Macaca mulatta: one gene and its partners. The protein of the gene in region 1 purifies or fractionates together with the protein of each later gene. This does not show direct contact. Links are inferred from orthologs where the notes say so. Each region holds a gene or a part of one and is shown in the gene's direction. Other genes may lie near its edges.

What was found. Proteins that work in one complex are often made in the same cells at the same time.
Region 2: the proteins of RBX1 (region 1) and CUL7 purify together in Homo sapiens (affinity purification with mass spectrometry; 9 studies listed by BioGRID and IntAct, with this or other methods). This does not show direct contact. The link is inferred for Macaca mulatta from reciprocal best matches to the Homo sapiens genes RBX1 and CUL7.
Region 3: the proteins of RBX1 (region 1) and COPS7A purify together in Homo sapiens (affinity purification with mass spectrometry; 3 studies listed by BioGRID and IntAct, with this or other methods). This does not show direct contact. The link is inferred for Macaca mulatta from reciprocal best matches to the Homo sapiens genes RBX1 and COPS7A.

What each region holds. Positions count from the first base shown.
Region 1 is NC_133415.1:10,578,404-10,582,995, reverse strand, and holds the start of RBX1 (E3 ubiquitin-protein ligase RBX1), read left to right. Parts: upstream 1-1,571; 5' UTR 1,572-1,592; coding exon 1,593-1,670; intron 1,671-4,107; coding exon 4,108-4,186; intron 4,187-4,592. UniProt on the Homo sapiens protein: E3 ubiquitin ligase component of multiple cullin-RING-based E3 ubiquitin-protein ligase (CRLs) complexes which mediate the ubiquitination and subsequent proteasomal degradation of target proteins, including proteins involved in cell cycle progression, signal transduction, transcription and transcription-coupled nucleotide excision repair.
Region 2 is NC_133409.1:139,088,960-139,092,797, forward strand, and holds the end of CUL7 (cullin-7), read left to right. Parts: intron 1-289; coding exon 290-450; intron 451-618; coding exon 619-835; intron 836-938; coding exon 939-1,209; intron 1,210-2,365; coding exon 2,366-2,511; intron 2,512-2,660; coding exon 2,661-2,787; intron 2,788-2,880; coding exon 2,881-3,086; intron 3,087-3,341; coding exon 3,342-3,665; 3' UTR 3,666-3,734; downstream 3,735-3,838. UniProt on the Homo sapiens protein: Core component of the 3M and Cul7-RING(FBXW8) complexes, which mediate the ubiquitination and subsequent proteasomal degradation of target proteins. Core component of the 3M complex, a complex required to regulate microtubule dynamics and genome integrity.
Region 3 is NC_133416.1:7,685,526-7,688,552, forward strand, and holds the end of COPS7A (COP9 signalosome complex subunit 7a), read left to right. Parts: intron 1-2; coding exon 3-205; intron 206-1,160; coding exon 1,161-1,266; intron 1,267-1,427; coding exon 1,428-1,579; intron 1,580-1,757; coding exon 1,758-1,797; 3' UTR 1,798-2,417; downstream 2,418-3,027.

The sequences.
Region 1 (4,592 bases):
GGTGATCGACCCGCCTCGGCCTTCCAAAATGCTGGGATTACAGGCGTGAGCCACCGCGCCTGGCCAATTCTTTCTCTTTAGCAATAGTGTCAGCACACTCCATTACTCTCCAGTTATCTTTTAAGAGAAAATAAAAGGCTTCAAATCACCTGTACGAGATCTAAGAGTGCTCTGGCGGAGTCATACCTCTGCAAGGTTAGAGATGTCAAAGGGAGTCCTGGTCTAGCGAGAAAAGGGAGAGTGACACAAAGTACAGGTGCTTGGGTCGGGCGCGGTGGCGCACTCCTGTGATCCTAGCACTTTGGGAGGTCGAAGTGGGAGGATCGCTTGAGCCGAGGAGTTCGAGACCAGCCTGGGAAACAGAGTGAGACCTTGTCTCTATTTAAAACAAAAAAAAATCGGCTCTAGCCTGTAATTCCAGCACTTTGGGAGGCCGAGGCAGGCGGATCACCTGAGGTCAGGAGTTCGAGACCGGCCTGGCCAACATGGTAAAAACCCGTTTCTACTAAAAATACAAAAGAGCCGGGCGTGGTGGCGGACACCTGTAATCCCAGCTACTAGGGAGGCTGAGGCAGGAGAATCGCTTGGACCCGGGAGGTGGAGGTTGCAGTGAGCCGAAATCGCGCCAGTGCACTCCAGCCTGGGCAACAAGAGCGAAACTCCGTCTCAAAAAAACACCCCAAAAAGAATGCTTCACAAAAATTAAAGAAATACAGCGACTGCAGATGGGTCGGTTTCACTATAGCACAAGTAGCGGAAAGAGGACACAGACTGGGGAGAAATCACCCTACACAAGATGACAACTGAGGAATGAGAAGTGGGGACTGACACACGCCACGGTGAAACCGCGCACCACGACCAAAGGCGGTCCTAGGACTGCGACTAAGCGGGCGCAGAGGCCACCCTCCAGGCTTGGCGGGGGGATGAGGGCAGCACTGGGGGCCTGCTCAGTCTGGCCTTAGGGAGGACCTTCGGGGCTCTCCTCTCTCCCCATCGATCCCTGAGCAGTTCCCGAACAGAAATCGGAGACCAGACGGTGCCTGGGCCCCAGCCCTCCCACGCGGACTGCGCCTTGGGCCTGGCTCGGAGGTGGGTCAGAGTCTGCGAAAGACCAGCGAGGGCTCTCAGGTTTCGGGGCAGGCGGCGGGCGCCCACCCCGGCTAGCAATGGGAGTCGCGCGGCGACCGGGCGAGCCCGGTAGGCAGGACAGGACTGCGGCGCAGGTCCGACTCAGGCGGAGGAAGCAGCCGCCGCCCCAGCTGATGGAGTGCGGCCGGGGGCTTCCCAGAGGAGGCGGCGACCTCGAGCCCTTTCGAACGTTTCTACCAGGCTAGCTCACGTAGCCTCGGCCCCGCCCGGCCCCGCCCCGCCCCACCCACTCCGGCCACCGCCCCCTCCCCGGCCGACACTTCGCGGGTGGGGCGACTTGCGATAGCCCCTTTAAGAGGCGTGGTCACGTGCTCCGCCCCCACCTCCCCCACGCGCGCCAGTAAGGGGTGGGGTGCGGGAGGAGGTGCCGGGGAGGCTGGGGGAACGAGGTGTGCGCTGCTGCGCAGGCGCGGTGGTCGGACGACAGACCGTGTGTTTCCAAAATGGCGGCAGCGATGGATGTGGATACCCCGAGCGGCACCAACAGCGGCGCGGGCAAGAAGCGCTTTGAAGTGAAAAAGGTTGGGTCTCGCCAGCGCCTTCCTCAGGGAAGCTAGAGAGGCGCGGATCTGGCTGGCAGGCCCGAGGATGGTCGAGGCGCGGAGTAAAGGGTTTCATTTTAGGGCGTTCCTGGGACCGGGTACCACGAAAGGAAGTCGGGGGGCGGGCCTTAGAGTTGATCGGCGTGACGGCGGCCCACTGTCAGGGGAAGTGTTGGTTTCGATGTGAGGCTGAGGGGCCAATCACAGAGCTGCTTGTTGAGATACGCGGGGTTGCGACTTGGCGGCGGGAGCCAAGCGCCTGAGCTGTCACTGGAGTGGTTGAGAGGTGGGGGAAGGTAGGGTGGGGTGAGGTAGGGTGGGGTGGGGTGGGGTGGGGTGGGTGGAATGGGGAGTCAGAGCGACTGCGGCGGTGGAGGATGGGGCAGTGCGGCGAAAGCCTGGAACCTGAGGTCCTACCGCATTGGAGGCCTCTGAGGAGCCCCGCTAGTGATCTTGCTCCGCCCCTTTTTGAAGCTTGCTTGGGGTCCTCTCACTTGAAGGGATCAGACTTGTTCCTCGCTGAACCGAGGCCTCCATTAACCCCATCTCTGGGCCTCACACCGCCGAGTTAGAGTCTGGAGTGTAATGCTTGGGTGTTCTGAGACGTCTGTTGGCTTTTCCCACAACCACCCCACTCTTGGATTCTCTGTCACGTTCAGAATCTCCCCCTTCCGAAATAATAATAAAAAGCACGGTGGAACTTGTTAAGAAAATCCGAGCCCAAATCCTGTGGCATTTCGGAAGGGTTGAGTACTAGTTGCGAATGACTTGGTAAGAGGGGAAAGCAAAAATGGAACGTGTCTTTTGCATGAAATGCATTTTAGTGGTTTGCCACAGTTTGGGAGAAAAGTGTCGATTCCCACCTAACATGAAAACTATTCGAAATGGAGATTCTGAAATAGGGAAGATATTCCTGGAACATCTGGCTAAACACTGACAATATCCCCCCCCTCCTAGTGCTTTTTGGTGTCTCATTGTGGCCACTGCTGCTCAGTTACAGCCAGCCATATTGAAGAATAATAGAAGTAGGGGCTTTTCCTCCAAGTTGAAGCTGTGATGTGAAAAGTGGTGAAGAAGTTACTAGGCACTGAGACTGGGGTTTGAAAGCGATGAAGGTTTGGGAGTACTTGTAATTGAGGAAACCAGAGTTGAATGAATGAAATGCCACTTTTAATTAAACTCTTACTGGAATTATTATCTTTTTTTTTTTTTTTTTTTTTTTTTTGAGACGGAGTCTAGCTCTGTTTCCCAGGCTGGAGTGCAGTGGCCGGATCTCAGCTCACTGCAAGCCCCACCTCCCGGGTTCACGCCATTCTCCTGCCTCAGCCTCCCGAGTAGCTGGGAGTACAGGCGCCCGCCACCTCGCCCGGCTAATTTTTTTTGTATTTTAGTAGAGACGGGGTTTCACCGTGTTAGCCAGGATGGTCTCGATCTCCTGAACTCGTGATCCGCCCGTCTCGGCCTCCCAAAGTGCTGGGATTACAGGCTTGAGCCACCGCGCCCGGCCTGGAATTATTATCTTAATAGAAGAGTCTAAACATATAAAAGTTCAGAACATCAGTTTATTTTATGGTAAGAATCGAACAAAATTCTAGTGAATTGTAGAATTTGTTATGAAGTAATCTAAGATTTAAGTGATGACCTTGTTCTGTGTACTGACATGGGCAGTTAATTATCCAGCTTATCCCACGATTACCTGTTTTATGATCCAGTCATCATCTTAGTTCATTCTGTTCCCTAGCTTTCACTTCATTGCTCATGCTTCCAAAGCTGCCTGGAAGAGCAGATACTTATTCAGATTTTGAGCGCTTCTGCAACTGCCACCAAAACCTGCACAGAAATTCAAGTTTGTGCTTTTTTTTTTTTTTTTTTTTTTAGATGGAGTCTCACTCCATCGCCCAGGCTGGAGTGCAGTGGCACGATCTCGGCTCACTGCAACCTCTGTCCCCCAGATTCAAGCGATTCTCCTGCCTTAGCTTCCCAAATAGCTGGCATTATAGACACCCGCCACCAAGCCTGGCTAATTTTTGTATTTTTAGTAAAGACGGGGTTTCGCCATATTGGCCAGGCTGGTCTCGAACTCCTGACTTCAGGTGATCCACCCGCCTCAGCCTTCCAAAATGCTAGGATTATGGGCGTGAGCCACTGCGTCCGGCCAGACTAAATTGTTTTAAACTACAGGAAACAAAAGATGACATTCATTTATGTCTTCATATACTCAGTCTTTTGGAGAATAGGAGAACGTATGTGTTGTCTACTGTTGTCTTTGGTATAATAAGATTAACATAATATCCAAAACCTTTTGTTTGGTGGTTCCTTGTGGCCAGAGATCATAACTACAACTGCAGCCTGAAGTCCTAAAAACTGTGTGTGTGTTATAAGGAGAATGCATTGTTCCCTCTTTTTGTCTTTGCAGTGGAATGCAGTAGCCCTCTGGGCCTGGGATATTGTGGTTGATAACTGTGCCATCTGCAGGAACCACATTATGGATCTTTGTAAGTAATTGGAGGAGGATGGGAGGAAGTTGAGAAGGTTGCAGAGCTTGTGGCTATCTTGATGTGACCGATTTTCTTCTTCACAAGCAGATATCAAGCCTACTCTGAGCACTCGGTCTTCTGTATCTAGTCTTTTGGTGTGTTTGAAATAGAGTAGTTTTTTTATGATGTCCTGGAGGCATACCCAGCTTTCAGAATAAATCTACTCAATCTAAAGATGGCAGGAACACATTTAGAATTAATTGTGGACAACAGGCACTGTTGATTCTTCCTGCATATCTCCCATCTTGTACCTAGACTCAAAGGTAGAAATACTGAAAGGAGGAAAATAAAGTTTGAGCTAAAATATTCTATCTGAGGCGAGGCGTGGTGGCTCATGCTTGTAATCCCAGCACTTAGGGAGGCC
Region 2 (3,838 bases), on another chromosome or scaffold:
CCCAAAGTGCTGGAATTACAGGCGTGAAGTGCGCCTGGCCTTATTTTCTCATTTTGAATGATTATTATTAGTTTGAATTTTTAGACACAATGAAAAGACACTTTCCATAATTGTTAATATTGCTAATTTGTACAATGGTTAATGATCGTATATAATAGTTGTATGAAAGCACCAACCACCTTAGGAAGCTGCCAGCATTCATATCTACTTTCCAGACCCTCGTCCCTCCTCCCCACTCACCTGCTCTGCTTGCTTGTTCATGGCTTTCCTGTGCTCTGCCATTGCTCAGGTGAGTGAGCAGTTCGCCCGGCACATTGACCAGCAGATCCAGGGCAGCCGGATTGGTGGAGCCCAGGAAATGGAGAGGCTGGCACAGCTGCAGCAGTGCCTGCAAGCTGTCCTGATTTTCTCCGGCCTGGAGATAGCCACCACCTTTGAGCATTATTACCAGTGAGTGTGGACCTAAGGAGCGGGAGCTGGCGGGAGGCAGGATGATGGTGGAAGAGCCAGCTCATGGGCCTGGAAGTCTGGGATAGAGCCAGGCTGGAGCCTTGGAGTGGGAGGCTGGGCCACACTGGTGCCCACACTGAGGCTTGGCCCGGGCTGCATGCACTGTAGGCACTACATGGCGGACCGTCTCCTGGGCGTGGTCTCGAGCTGGCTGGAGGGGGCCGTGCTGGAGCAGATTGGTCCCTGCTTCCCCAACCGCCTCCCCCAGCAGATGTTGCAGAGCCTGAGCACCTCTAAGGAGCTACAGCGCCAGTTCCACGTCTACCAGCTCCAGCGGCTGGATCAGGAACTCCTAAAGCTGGAGGATACAGAGAAGAAAATACAGGTGAGTGCCTTGGAAGGGATGAGCAAATGAGAAGGTAGGGGGAAGATGGGCATGAAGCAGACTGGAGGAGGCCATGGCATCTGGGAACCCTGTGCTCCTTCAGGTGGGCCATAGGGACAGTGGCAAGGAGTATAAGAGCGAGAAGGAAGAGGGAGCTGGGGCAGCAGCAGCGGTGGATGTGACAGAGGGAGAGGAGGAAGAGGAGGAGAATGAGGACCTCTACTATGAAGGGGCAATGCCAGAAGTGTCTGTGCTTGTCCTGTCCCGACACTGCTGGCCTGTTGCCTCAATCTGCCACACACTGAACCCCAGAACCTGCCTGCCCTCCTACCTGAGGGGCACTTTGAACAGATACTCCAACTTCTACAACAAGAGTGAGTAGCCAGGCAGAGGGGACTGGGGAGAGGGTGGGCTGCTAGGAAAGGACCTGGGGTTGGGGGCAGACCCTGATGTTGGGAGGCTTGATGTGAAAAGAGATGGTCTGTAGCTGGGCACAGGGCTCACGCCTGTAATCCCAACACTTTGGGAGGCCGAGGTGGGTGGATCACTTGAGGTCAGGAGTTCGAGACCAGCCTAGCCAACATGGTGAAACCTCGTCTCTACTAAAAATACAAAAATTAGCTGAGTGTGGTGGTGCATGCCTGTAGTCCCAGCTACTCGGGAGGCTGAGGCAGGAGAATCACTTCAACCCACAAGCGGAGGTTGCAGTGAGCCAAGATCGTGCCACTACACTCTAGCCTGGGTGACAGTGAGACTCCATCTCAAAAAAATAAAAAAAAAGAGTTGGTCTTTTAATTTAATTTTTAAATTTTTGTTTTTATAGATTCAGGGAGAGAGAGTCTTTAGGGATAAGAATTCCCTAGGCCATGGGAAAAATAGTGGTTTTGAGAAGAAAGGGCAGGAGCTTGGTGGCTGAGGGTGGCAGGTGCTGTCAGATACCTGATCCCCAGATCATTGTCTTTTCTGTTTTAAAATAAGACCTGGGAATCTCTTTGTGGGTGACAGGGAGGATGGAGGCAGGAGGCACCTGAGGCCACCAGGAAGGAGTGTCTGGCTCCTTCCTGGTCAGTCACCTGTCATCCTAAACTACCCACTGGGGCTGATCCCTGAGCTGGCAGCAACACAGGAGGGGGAAGAGGCTCAGACCTGTGGTCAGGGAGCCCCCTAATAGGGGAGACATTGTTTACTGTCACAATATTCCAGCTTGGTAAGAGCCCCAGTTCTTCCTCCCTTCATGGTTTTGTCTCCCTAAAAACACACGGGGCAATCCTCGAAGGCACTGATGAGAACCTGCCTGGCACCAGGCTAGGCATAGGATAGCTCCCAGATACCTGAGGCTCGCCATGGAGGCAGGCCCAGAGAAGGCCGAGATCTGGAAGCTCAGACCAGGAGCTCCAGTGTCCATAAATGCTGGGGTCACACGCCCTGTAGAGATCAACAGAGCTTGACCAGCATGCACCCTCCCTCCAACACCAACTCCCTCCTTTCCCCTGCTCTTTGTCTCCCTCCCCCTTCCTGGTACCTCACCAGGTCAGAGCCATCCTGCCCTCGAGCAAGGCTCACAGAGGCGACTGCAGTGGACGTGGCTGGGCTGGGCTGAGCTGCAGTTTGGGAACCAGACCCTGCATGTGTCCACTGTGCAGATGTGGCTACTGCTGTATCTCAACGACCTGAAGGTGGTCCAGCCCTGCTGTACCTTTCTCCTGTCTCCCACTTTGTCCCGTGCCTCTCTTCCTGAAACCTTGACTCCCTCTGCTTCTTCCCTCTATCCTCTTCTCTCCACTCCTTGGGGAGGCCCTGAATGTCTCCCATCTGTTCTCTGAAGGCGGTCTCTGTGGAGAGTCTGCTGGCGCTCTCAGGGCTCTCCGAAGACATGCTTAATGAGGCGATTGGGCCCCTCACCTCTTCAAGAGGCCCCCTGGACCTTCATGAGCAAAAGGATATACCAGGAGGTATGCACTTAGGGCCAGAGGGGCCTCTGCTCTGAGGCAGGGCCGGGCTTCTCATGGGCTCTCCACTGAGTGAGTGATCGGTGTTTATTTCAGGGGTCCTCAAGATTCGAGATGGCAGCAAGGAACCCAGGTCGAGATGGGACATTGTGCGGCTCATCCCACCTCAGACATACCTGCAAGCTGAGGGTGAAGAGGGCCGGAACTTGGAGAAGAGACGGAATCTTCTGAACTGCCTCATCGTCCGAATCCTCAAGGCCCATGGGGATGAGGGGCTGCACATTGACCAGCTTGTCTGTCTGGTAGGCAGGGGTGGGCACAGTGGGTGATGGATCTTTGCTGGGGTTGGGGGAGCAGTCTACAGAACAAGGTGGGTCCACGTGTGGTGAAGCACGTGGTTCACTATGTAGCCTGTAGGAGTGTGAGGCGTGAAGTCAGGATGTACCTGGTGTCCTTGGGGCATCCTGTCCTAGCAGCCTGTGGTTGGAGTGGAAGCTCAAGCAAGGATGGGTCAGCTGCCTCTAACCTACCACTTGTCCCTTCCTCCCCGACACCAGGTGCTGGAGGCTTGGCAGAAGGGCCCATGTCCTCCCAGGGGTTTGGTCAGCAGCCTTGGTAGGGGGTCTGCCTGCAGCAGCACTGACGTCCTCTCCTGCATCCTGCACCTCCTGGGCAAGGGCACGCTGAGACGCCATGATGACCGGCCGCAGGTGCTGACCTATGCAGTCCCTGTGACTGTCATGGAGCCTCACACCGAGTCCCTGAACCCAGGCTCCTCAGGCCCCAACCCACCCCTCACCTTCCATACCCTGCAGATTCGCTCCCGGGGTGTGCCCTATGCCTCCTGCACTGCCACCCAGAGCTTCTCTACCTTCCGGTAGCCCTGGACTTGGGGTCAGGGGAAGATAGAGCTGGAGCTTTTACAGAAATAAAACCTGAGAGTTTGATTATATGATGTGTGTTTGGCAACTGCTAGAGATTTGAGCTGGGAGGTGGCGGGGGCTTTCCCGGCTGGTGAGGAAGGAGCCTTTGGCACTGAGTCTGTTGCATGATA
Region 3 (3,027 bases), on another chromosome or scaffold:
AGTGTATCCCATATGCAGTGTTGCTGGAATCTCTTGCCCTGCGTAATGTGCGGCAGCTGGAAGACCTTGTGATTGAGGCTGTGTATGCTGACGTGCTTCGTGGCTCCCTGGACCAGCGCAACCAGCGGCTCGAGGTTGACTACAGCATCGGGCGGGACATCCAGCGCCAGGACCTCAATGCCATTGCCCGAACCCTGCAGGAATGGTGAGAACCGTATCCTGGCACTGTCCCCTTCCTTGTCACCCTGAGAAGGAGAAAGGCGCTTCAGGGTGAGAGAGGGCAAGAGCTGGGCTGGTCTGTAGAGGTGGAACCCAGGAGGATGAAGGGAAATGAATTTATCCCTCCAAAGGCTTCTGGGGAATGCAGGAGTGGGGAGACCTTGGGAGGCGGCAGAAGTCAGCGTCCTTGATACAGCAATTGGGGGAGGGAAAGGGAGTGGTACAACTGAGGGGATCCTAACCAGTAAGGTTGGTCGCCTATCTTAGGCTGGATTCTGTTGATTGGTCTATAACTACCATTGTCCACAGGCCATGGACCTTTTCCTCTTTTTTATTTTCTTTGTGTCCCCATCTAACTTCAGGGTTTCTGTATTCATTAAGTCACCTCTTTTGCTCTTTAGCATCTCCTGCCCTATTTTGTTTTTAGTTCCTACTCCCATCTTGCACATTACTCCAGGTACTTCCTTATCGCTCTCTGACCACACTGAGTGTCCATCCCACTGCTAGGAGTGTTATCACAGGTAGTTTCTAGGTGCCCTGGTGAGGGTTCCCAACTCAGACTCAAAATGCCTGAAGCTGTGTTCTGGCTCTGTTGCTCAGGTTGGAGTGCAGTGGCACCAGCTTGACTCACTGCAGCCTCCAACCTCCAGGGCTCAAGCCACCCTCCACCTCAGTCCCTCGAGTAGCATGGGACTACAGGCTCGTGCCACCACATCCGGCTAATTTTTGTATTTTTTGTGGAGACGGGTTTTTACCGTATCACTCAGGCCGGTCTTGAACTCCTGAGCTTAAGCAGTCTGCCTATCTTGGCCTCCCAAAATGCTGGGATTATGGCGGGGAGCCACTGCGCCCTGCCTCTAGGGTTCTTTTTGAGTCCATTTTCTGCGAGTCTGTGATCGCAGTCCTTGTCTGCTGACACTTCTCTGCCCTGACTCCCGCAGGTGTGTGGGCTGTGAGGTTGTGCTGTCAGGCATTGAGGAGCAGGTGAGCCGTGCCAACCAGCACAAGGAGCAGCAACTGGGCCTAAAGCAGCAGATTGAGAGTGAGGTGAGCAGTCAGGGGAGCGGGCAGACCCAAGCTCCCCCAGCCTGGGCCACCTGTCCTTTGCAGAGAGGATTTGGACAGTGGCTGTAGCAGACAACCAGATGAGCAGGGGCTGGAAGGTTCTGGAACCTTCCTTGCTATCCCCATTCCTTTCATCCTGGTAGGTTGCCAACCTTAAAAAAACCATTAAAGTTACAACGGCAGCAGCAGCCGCGGCCACATCTCAGGACCCTGAGCAACACCTGACTGAGCTGAGGGAACCAGCTCCTGGCACCAACCAGCGTCAGCCCAGCAAGAAAGCCTCAAAGGGCAAGGGGTGAGCCAGGGTAGCAGGAACTGCTCACTTCCAGGGTGCCCTGCTTTTACCCCAGGGACCTCTCTGTCCTCATTTCCTTCAGTTACTTGCATGGGAGTAGGGAGTGGGGGGAACCTCCAGAGGTTAGGGGATTCCCTGCATTCTCTTTCTTTCTCTTTCTCTCTCTTCTCCTTGCCAGGCTCCGAGGGAGTGCCAAGATTTGGTCCAAGTCGAATTGAAAGGACTGTCGTTTCCTCCCTGGGGATGTGGGGTCCCAGCTGCCTGCCTGCCTCTTAGGAGTCCTCAGAGAGCCTTCCTGTGCCCCTGGCCAGCTGATAATCCTAGGTTCATGACCCTTCACTTCCCCTAACCCCAAACATAGATCACACCTTCTCTAGGGAGGAGGCAAATGCAGGTTATGTTTTTGTTGGTACTTTTTGTTTTTTGTGACTTTGTGTGTTCCATTACTCCCCGCTGCCATCCTGTCTCCCCTGTTTCCTTAAGAGCTCAGCATCTGTCCCTGTTCATTAAATGTCACTGAGTAGGTGGGTAGCCCTGATAGGGGTTGCTGTGTTTTAAGCATAACCCACAGGCGTCTTTTCTACCACCTCATCCCTGCATGCCTGATCCCCAATTCCTATACCTTACCCTCCACCTATTGAGCAGCCTCTGAAGAGCCGTAGGGCCCCCACCTTTACTCACACCCTGAGAATTCTGGGAGCCAGTCTGCCATTCCAGGAGTCACTGGACATGTTCATCCTAGAATCCTGTCACACTACAGTCGTTTCTTTTCCTCTCTCTGGCCCTTGGGTCCTGGGATTGCTGCTGCTTCAACCCCAGAGCCTAAGAATGGCAGCCGTTTCGTAACATGTTGAGAGATGGGTCTTTCTTGGCCCTGGCCATTTTGGGAAGCTTGATGGCAATCCTGGAAGGGTTTAATCTCCTTTTGTGAGTTTGGTGGGGAAGGGAAGGGTATATAGATTGTATTAAAAAAAAGGTATATATGCATATATCTATATATAACATGACACAGAAATAAATCTATGAGAAATCTATCTACAAACTACCCTGAACCAGGTATCTTCTGTGTTTGATATTTGTGGATGGGAAGAAGACTCATTCCCAGTTCACTCTAAAAGAAACAGTACTGGAAAATGAAGAGACCCAGATACTATTTGCTGAGTCTCTGGCTGAGGCCTAGATCTCAAGCTGTATGCCTTTGGACAGGTTGCTCAGCATCCATTCAGAAGTAATGGATATGGCTGGGCGCAGTGGCTCACACCTGTAATCCCAATATGTTGGGAGGCCAAGGTGGGCATGTCACTTGACGTCAGGAGTGTGAGACCAGCCTGGCCAACATGGTGAAACCCCGTCTCCTAAAAATACAAAAAAATTAGCTGGGTGTGGTGGTGCATGCCCATAATCCCCTAAGGAGGCTGAGGCAGGAGAATCGCTTGAACCTGGGAGGT